Cricetulus griseus: one gene and its partner. The protein of the gene in region 2 interacts with the protein of the main gene of each other region in a biochemical or structural test. Links are inferred from orthologs where the notes say so. Each region holds a gene or a part of one and is shown on either strand. Other genes may lie near its edges.

Region 1 (3,812 bases), about 200 Mb from region 2:
TGCTGAACTGCATGGAGCTCTGATTGGACACGGGCACTGTGACAGGCATGGCAAAGTTGGGGGCCGGAACAGATGACTAGACAGAAAGACGGAGGTGGTGTCACACCAGGTGAACCTTTCCACCTGGACCCAGTGACTAGTCACTCTAACTAGTCACTGCTGTAGACTCCAAAATAATCCAGGGGCCTGGCCGGGCTTTGGTGGCTCACACCTTTAATCCCAACACTCAGCAGGCAGAGGCAGGAGGATCTCTTTGAGTTTGAGGCCTGCCTGGTCTACAGAGTAAGTTCCAGGACAGCCTCCAAAGCAATACAGATAAACCCTGTCTCAAAAAACAAAAACAAAAATTTTCTGATGCCTCCTGCTTAGGTCTTGCCATTTCTCCTCCCCTTTCTTTTAAGTCTCTGGTCCCTCTGAGCCACCCTGTGGAAGGCAGCTACACTCACCAACGGGACTGGGGCAGGCTCCATTAGCACTGTTGAGGTCTCCACCCAGCATGGCTCCTGGGAGAAAAGCAGAGCTACCGTGAGCTTTGTCTTGGGACTGGACAAGAAGGGGGGGGGGGGTCCCTTAGGAGTCCTAGGCTTTTCCCCCTCAAGAGTCATACACATGCAGGAATTCTGTGAAGGGAAGACCCACCATTGAAAATGGAAGCCCAGAGGCTCACTTCCGCCTTAGCAATTCACCCTCCAGCCCACTTACCTGCACTAGCAGGTCGCTGGGGCAGGCCTGGAGAAACACTGTTTCTCTGTAGTGCTGGCTGCTGGGGGGACAGGAGCCGTGGGTCCGTAAGGGATGATGTCACCAGGGAAGGAGTGACCAGAGAGCCACTGGGATTGCTGAACTGCATGGAGCTCTGATTGGACACGGGCACTGTGACAGGCATGGCAAAGTTGGGGGCCGGAACAGATGACTAGACAGAAAGACGGAGGCGGTGTCACACCAGGTGAATCTTTCCACCTGGACCCATTTTGCCCAAGAGGGTAGGCACAAGGGTTCTTTGGTTCCTGGACTATATCTCCAAGGGCCAGCACCTTGGACTCCCTGCCTTCAGCCCTTTTGTAATCCTACCTACCTCCCATCAGAAAGATGAGAGCACCTTGTAATATAGCTCTGGTCCAAGGCAGAAGAGCAAGGCTCTGCCCCCTGCAGACAGGACTGGATACCCCCAGTGGAGGTGGGTTAGTCCTCAGCCAGGCAGGACACACTGGGAGCAAGTTAGTGCCCTGCATACAGACCCAACTCACACACTTCTAAGAATACGGCTTCACTAAGTTGCCATCCACCATTTGGCCTGCTTCAGGAGCAGTTCAAGCCCACCCCTCTCCCTTCCCTTTAGCAGTTCCACCTCCTTTAAACAAAGCTGAATGCCTTAGGCAGGGGTGCCAAAGCAGCCCAAGGGGGCCTCCCCCAAAACAACAGGACAAAGAACATACTCTTTTTTGTCCTCTAAAGACTCAAGGTATCTGTACTTTTTGTTGGTGAGGGGAGAATGCCTGTCTCTCTAGCTTATGCAAGGACTTTATAAGAAGAGGGTTATCAAGACCGAGGTCAGGAATTCCTCAGTGGTCAGTACCAGCTCCAAGATGGCTCATCCTAGTGCACCCATCAGAGGCAGCCACGGGCCGGGCAAGGCTGGGTGAAGCCACACCATGCAGCACAGGAGGCTCTCCTCCATGCGACTACTCACGGCCAGTCTATAACTCTGCATCATCTTATCAAATTCCTCGTCTATCTTTTTATACTTCTCCTCCGTCTGGGGGGTCAGGGCAAACGCCTCGTCCACCTCAGGGCTCTCACACTCCCTGTGCTTCTTGTGCAGCGCCTGGGGGAGGGGCCGGAAGGGGACCACAGAAAAGGTGAGGAGGGCTCACCCCATAGCGCCTGAAGAGCCCATCCAACTCCTCACTGGCCCGCCGGTACTTGTCCTCCAGCAGGGGGCTCTGCTCCAGTGAGTCCTCCCCATCCGGCTCTGGGCTGTCACAGCCGTTGAAACCCTTCTTCCTCAGGGTCTGCAACCGCACCACTCAGTCAGCCAGCCAGCCAGCAATGGTCCTCCTGCCTCCTCCAAGCTCCTCCCAAGGATCCCCTGTTCTTCTCCAACCTTCTCTCCCATGGTTTCCAGAAGCTCCAGTCCCTCCCTCAGAGCCATTCTCCTCCCTACAATGCTCCCTTGGGGTCCTGAGTGAAGTGGACTTAACCTAGGCATGGGGCAGGTATATTACACGACTCTGTCACCCCAGCCTGTTCCCCTAAGGATGTGTTTAGGGGTGGGGAACTCTGCCCATCCAAACCCCTAAGTTCTATTTAGGTGACCGAGCTGGATGGAGATAGGAGAGGAGGACACAGGAGAGCACAAAGGACCTGCACTTACCACCCCAGATTCTCCCAGGGGCCAAAGCCTTGCACATGACCTTAGAGTGTACCTGTGGCAGACCCAAGTGCTTGTGGTTGCTCAAAACTTTAAAGATACTTGCTTCATTTTTTTAAAATCACGTGTGCTTGCGCGCGCGCGCGTGCGTGTGTGTGTGTGTGTGTTTGTGTGTGTGTGTGTATATGCCATGGCACATGAGTGCATGTCAGAGGACAACCTGCAGGTGTTGGTTCTCTTCCTTCTATCACAAGGATCCTGGGATTTAAAGTCAGGTCATCAGACTTGGCATTAAGTGCTTTTACCTGTTAAGCCATCTCCCCAGCCCTTGCTTCATTTTTACTTTTTTTTTTTTTTTTCTTTTTAAGACAGGGTTTCACTGTGTATCCTCGTCTGCCCTGGAACTCACTCTGTAGACCAGGCTGGTTTCGAACTCACAGAGATCCACCTGCCTCTGTCTCCCGAGTGCTGGGATTAAAGGTGTGCACCACCACCACCTGGCTTATTTTTATTTTATCTCATGTGTATGTCTGTTTTGCCGGTATGTATGTGTATCACATGAGTGCCTGGTGCCTGTGGGGTCAGAAGAGAGTGGATCCCTTGGGACTAGAGTTACAGGCAGTTGTGAGCTGCCCTATGGGAATCAAACCCAGCTCCTCTGGAAGAGCAACCAGTACTCTTAACCTCTGTACCCCATGTTGGCACCCTAGAGTGAGAAGCATGAGCTGGCTGTCTCATTTGTTCACAGAACACTCTTGTAAGTCAGCACTGCTCAGTCTGTGGAAGAGACCACAGCCCAGACCACCTGCCTAAGGCCATGTACCAGTAAAGACCAGAGATGAGTCCTAAAGCTCAAGTCCTCAACATTTCAAAATTTGACTCTGAAACAGAAGGCAAGAGCCACACAGGACAGAAAGGAGAGGTGGGAACAAAGAGGGAGACACAAAAAGGAATATCCCAGAGGATGAAGGAAGGAGGCTCTAAAGAGACAGAGAAGACACAGGATGCGCCTCAGACCTGGCACACACTGCCTAAGTCAAGCTGAAGCCTGGTACTGGCTACATGTCTCATGCCTTTGCTGTCATGCCCCTCCTTCCTTGGGGCCTTGGTTCAGGAGAAGAGATGGGTTTACACATGGACAGAGGCGGGCACAGGCGCACCTCAATGATGTCAGCATTGGTGCGGCTCTCATGCGGTTCGTTGTACTCCGTGTACTTGAGCAGCACTTTGTCCATGTCGGTGCTGGCATACTGAAACAGCTTGTTAGAGTGGTTGAAGATGATGAGTGCAATCTCGCAGTCACATAGCACACTCAGCTCGTAGGCCTTCTTCATCAGCCCAAACTTCCGCTTGGTGAATGTCACCTGCAGGAGAGTAGTGGGTGGCCAGGTCTAACAAGAGTCCCTCTGCCCATAGGTATCTGGACACAGCCCCTCCCCTG
Region 2 (3,812 bases):
AGACTGGGGCAGTACTGAGGACAAAATCTTGGCGGGGGCTGCACCGTGAATTCAATCCCTATCATCTAACCCCACCAAGCAACAAACGGGAAGGTCAGAGTGACCTAGTGGATGAGTGAGGACAGCACAGGTGATGGAGCCCTGGAGTTCAGAGACTCCGAAGGCACACAGATCAGGACAGAGAGGGGGACGAAGGATGCTCCTAGTGTTTACCAGCCACATTGGTGAGAAGATGCAGGCCTTACCATTTGAGAAACATTCGGAGTGAGTCCTTCCGGAGACAAGGCTGCTCTTCAAAAATCTTCTCCTTGAGGACCAGGCCTTTGCTGTATTGGCAGTCTTTCTCCAGTGCTTTGCAGATGAAGTACAGACAAGCTAGCAGGAAAGAAACAGGTTAGAAGCTAAGACTGCTTTCACAACTCTAGCCTTCCAGTTAACACCAGGAAAATGCTCCCACTGTGGAACTAAAATGCACAATAATGTTGAGCTAGCATCTTACCCAACTTAATTAGTAACGACTACAGCTGAGACTACAATATCAAGAATGCACCAGAACACACACTTGCAGGTGAATAGGACAGCTGGTGCCAGAAGCAAACAGACTGTATGACTTTACTGTACAGCCTTGACCCCGTGATTCCATATTTAATAACTGCTGCAAAAAAAAAAAAAAATCTAAAGAGCTCACAGTGATTAGCTATTGGCCAATATCCTTCAAAATATCTGGCCATCTCAGCTATGAGAGTGACACTGCCACCCAGTGGACCTAGAGGACAAGAGCATCAAACCAAAGACATTACTGAACCTAAAGACCTAATGAAATTTACCTTACTAAGTTCTGAGTTTACCTGGAACTTTTCACTCCCCCCCCCTTTTTTTTTTCTATTTCTCACTTTGGGGATAGACAAGGGAAGGTTTATTCTACAAATATCCCACCATTATATTTTGGAGCACATAAACAATGCGGCTAGGCCCATGGGTAGAGAAGAATGTTGCTTCAGGATAAATTATACCTCTTGTATCACACACACATGAAGTGGGCTCACCTTCCCTCTCGTTTTCTAACTCCACCCCATCAAGTAAAGCTACAAGAGGTGGAAACACAGAAGCCACGACCAGGCACCAATCTGCTGGCACCCTGATCTTAGACTTCCTAGCCTAAGCCAGGAAAATAAATGTCTCCCATTATGTCACTCAATGTGACAGGCCTTTGGAGTTTAAGATTAGCCTAGGTGACACAGGAGACTTTTTATCCAAAAAAAAAAGGACAACCCAAAAAGATAGGACGTTGCACAGAGGAAAAGGGGAATCCTTTAGAGAATACATTACTGTTACCTTACTCTATACTTACAAGCATCTGGTTAATGAAGAAAGGAAAACAGAATTAAGCAAGTATGTAAAAACATCTCCATTCTTCCTCAGTTTGGCAGAACTAATAAATTTTGCTACCAGCTTACCCAAGTCAACCTCTCTCATCTGTCCCGACTCACTTGTGTAATCACTGAGGGTGTATAAAACAGTGATGAGATTGTCCAAGCAGGGCCAGTGGTCAGGATTACATCGAAGCCCTTCCTCAAAAGCATGGCGAGCCAGAGGAAGCCGGATGAGCCTCAGGGCCACGTGTCCAATTTTATACCAAAGGTTGACGTCTGTGGAATCTAGCATCACTGCCTAGAAGCAGTATAAGCAGAGGGTACAATATGCACTTAATTAGATTTCTCACTGAGCAAGCAAAGTGGCAACAAAAGGACAAAGCATTGGCCCAGCCATTCAAATTACCCAGGGAGAAGTCAAGACAGTGTGGCTGCTTATAATAAAGCTGGTTCACTTTCCTGGAGTAACATGTTTCCAAGACCCAGACAAAAGACACATAAAAAGCTACATGAGGCCAGGAGCACTGGGAGGCAGAGGCCAGCCTAGTCTACAGAGCCAGTTCCAGGACAGCCAGGGCTGTTACACAGTGGAACACCGTCTCAAAAACACCACTGAATACAGGTGTCAGGATCTGGTCTTCATACCTAAAAATGCACCAATTTGTTTGCTTTGCTCCAAACTTGCTATGTGATCCTCCAGCCTCAGCCCTCCACTGCTTGGTTTAGTATGTACCACTATGCCCAGCTTTACCCTTTTTTCCTCCTATTACACATTGGTATAGACCTGGATGTTTGGCTGGATTAAATAAGTCACCTACAGTCACATGTGTACTGATGGTAGAAAATGTCACATATAGTCCTCTGCACTGAAGCCCATCCCAGTCCCTAGCCCTGCTTTTCTGGCCTTTCTGCACTCAATAATATCTCTTGATGGGACACCACTACAAATCCTTCTTTCAGTCAACAAGACCATATCACATCCAATTTATCAATTTTGTAAATGGATATTTGAGTAGTACCAACTCCATACCTCCAAATAGAATTCCATGGCTGTCTCCAGATCTTCTCGTTGGGCTGCCAGCTGGGCCAGGTTCTTATATGTAGAATATTTCAGTATCAGTCCAGGGTGTTTCAACCCTTCTTTCTCATCTCCAGATGAAACTGCCTGAGAGAAAACAGAAGCAGAAGTGACGCCATGACCCTACAGCTTCATCAAGCAATCAACAAGAAACCTGGTTTCCAGGCCAGATACTGCTTGAGACAGCCCAGTCCACCTCACCTGGGAAATTTTTGGGAGACCAAATAGCTCCAATCATACAAAGAAAGGCCAAACCACCATGAAGCAGAAATTTGGTAATCAAGGAAGACAAGAGACCCCTCTCCACCTCTGCTGCTGTACCTGGGCTGCTTAGTGGAGCTGGTAACATCTATCAGTTCTGACAAAAAAGCCCAGCCAGTCCCCCTATTCAGGGGCAAGTGTGAAGAGGCTTCCTGGGGTGAGCAGCCAGAACCTAAGCTTTGCCCCAGGAGGAGAAGCTCCTGACTCTGGATCATCACACAGCCACCCACAAGGTATTCCAACTAAACAGCTACTGTCAGTGAACTCTATAATAAAAGGACAGCAATTCCTAGCCTGGATAGCAAATGTGAACATGAGATCAAACAGTATAAGGATTATAAACATCTTTAACATAAAAAGTTACTTCACCGCTGCTTTTATAGCAATGCCTTAAAAACATTTACTCTTCCAAGATATCACTGAATAAAAACTACTGTCAGAGCCAGGTGTGGTGGCACATGACGTTAATCACAGCATTGAGGAGGCAGCGGCAGGCAGAATTCTGTCAAAGGGCAACCTGTCTACACAGAGAATTCCAGGCTGACCTGCACTCAGCACTCAGGAAGTAGGGTAGGGCAGTCAGTTCAAGGCTAGCTTTGGCTACACAGCAAGTTCAAGACTAGCATGGCTTTCATGAGATCCTGTCTCAAAAAGAAAAAACTAAAACCAAACACACATGCATACACACATGTACATGTGTGCAAAACAAGACCCAGACAGTGAAAAGCACTGGGTAGGTTGTTCCATTCTTGCAATCTCAGGATCCAGGAGAACCCAGAGTTTCAGGCTAGCCTGGACTTCAAAGTGAGACTCTGTCTCAAAAAACACAGCCCAGCATCCCAGTACCTCACCTCCCGCAGCAGGCGCGCCTCCAGGAGTTCATGGTAGGCCTTGGCAGACTCCTCAAATCTGTCATGTTTCTGTAGGTCCAGGGCCTTGTGGTATAAGGCAAAAGCCTCTGCTTCCTGCAAACCAAGATATGAGATGTTTCACACCACACTCAAGTTGATCCTTTTAAACCAAAAATGTTTTAGAGGGAAGGCTATGAGTCCCTGCCAAGTGAACTGTCAGCCACAGCCTCGAGAGCAAAGGAGATATGA

Evidence for each region.
Region 1: the proteins of Cabin1 (region 2) and Mef2d form a complex in vitro, tested with the Homo sapiens proteins (2 studies listed by BioGRID). The link is inferred for Cricetulus griseus from reciprocal best matches to the Homo sapiens genes CABIN1 and MEF2D.

The regions. Positions count from the first base shown.
Region 1 is NW_023276806.1:66,317,144-66,320,955, forward strand, and holds part of Mef2d (myocyte-specific enhancer factor 2D), read right to left. Parts: intron 3,736-3,812; coding exon 3,532-3,735; intron 2,013-3,531; coding exon 1,875-2,012; intron 1,826-1,874; coding exon of another isoform or gene 1,691-1,825; intron 914-1,690; coding exon 703-913; intron 504-702; coding exon 447-503; intron 1-446. UniProt on the Homo sapiens protein: Transcriptional activator which binds specifically to the MEF2 element, 5'-YTA[AT](4)TAR-3', found in numerous muscle-specific, growth factor- and stress-induced genes.
Region 2 is NW_023276806.1:262,841,139-262,844,950, reverse strand, and holds part of Cabin1 (calcineurin-binding protein cabin-1), read right to left. Parts: intron 3,678-3,812; coding exon 3,564-3,677; intron 2,539-3,563; coding exon 2,404-2,538; intron 1,672-2,403; coding exon 1,491-1,671; intron 376-1,490; coding exon 246-375; intron 1-245. UniProt on the Homo sapiens protein: May be required for replication-independent chromatin assembly. May serve as a negative regulator of T-cell receptor (TCR) signaling via inhibition of calcineurin. Inhibition of activated calcineurin is dependent on both PKC and calcium signals.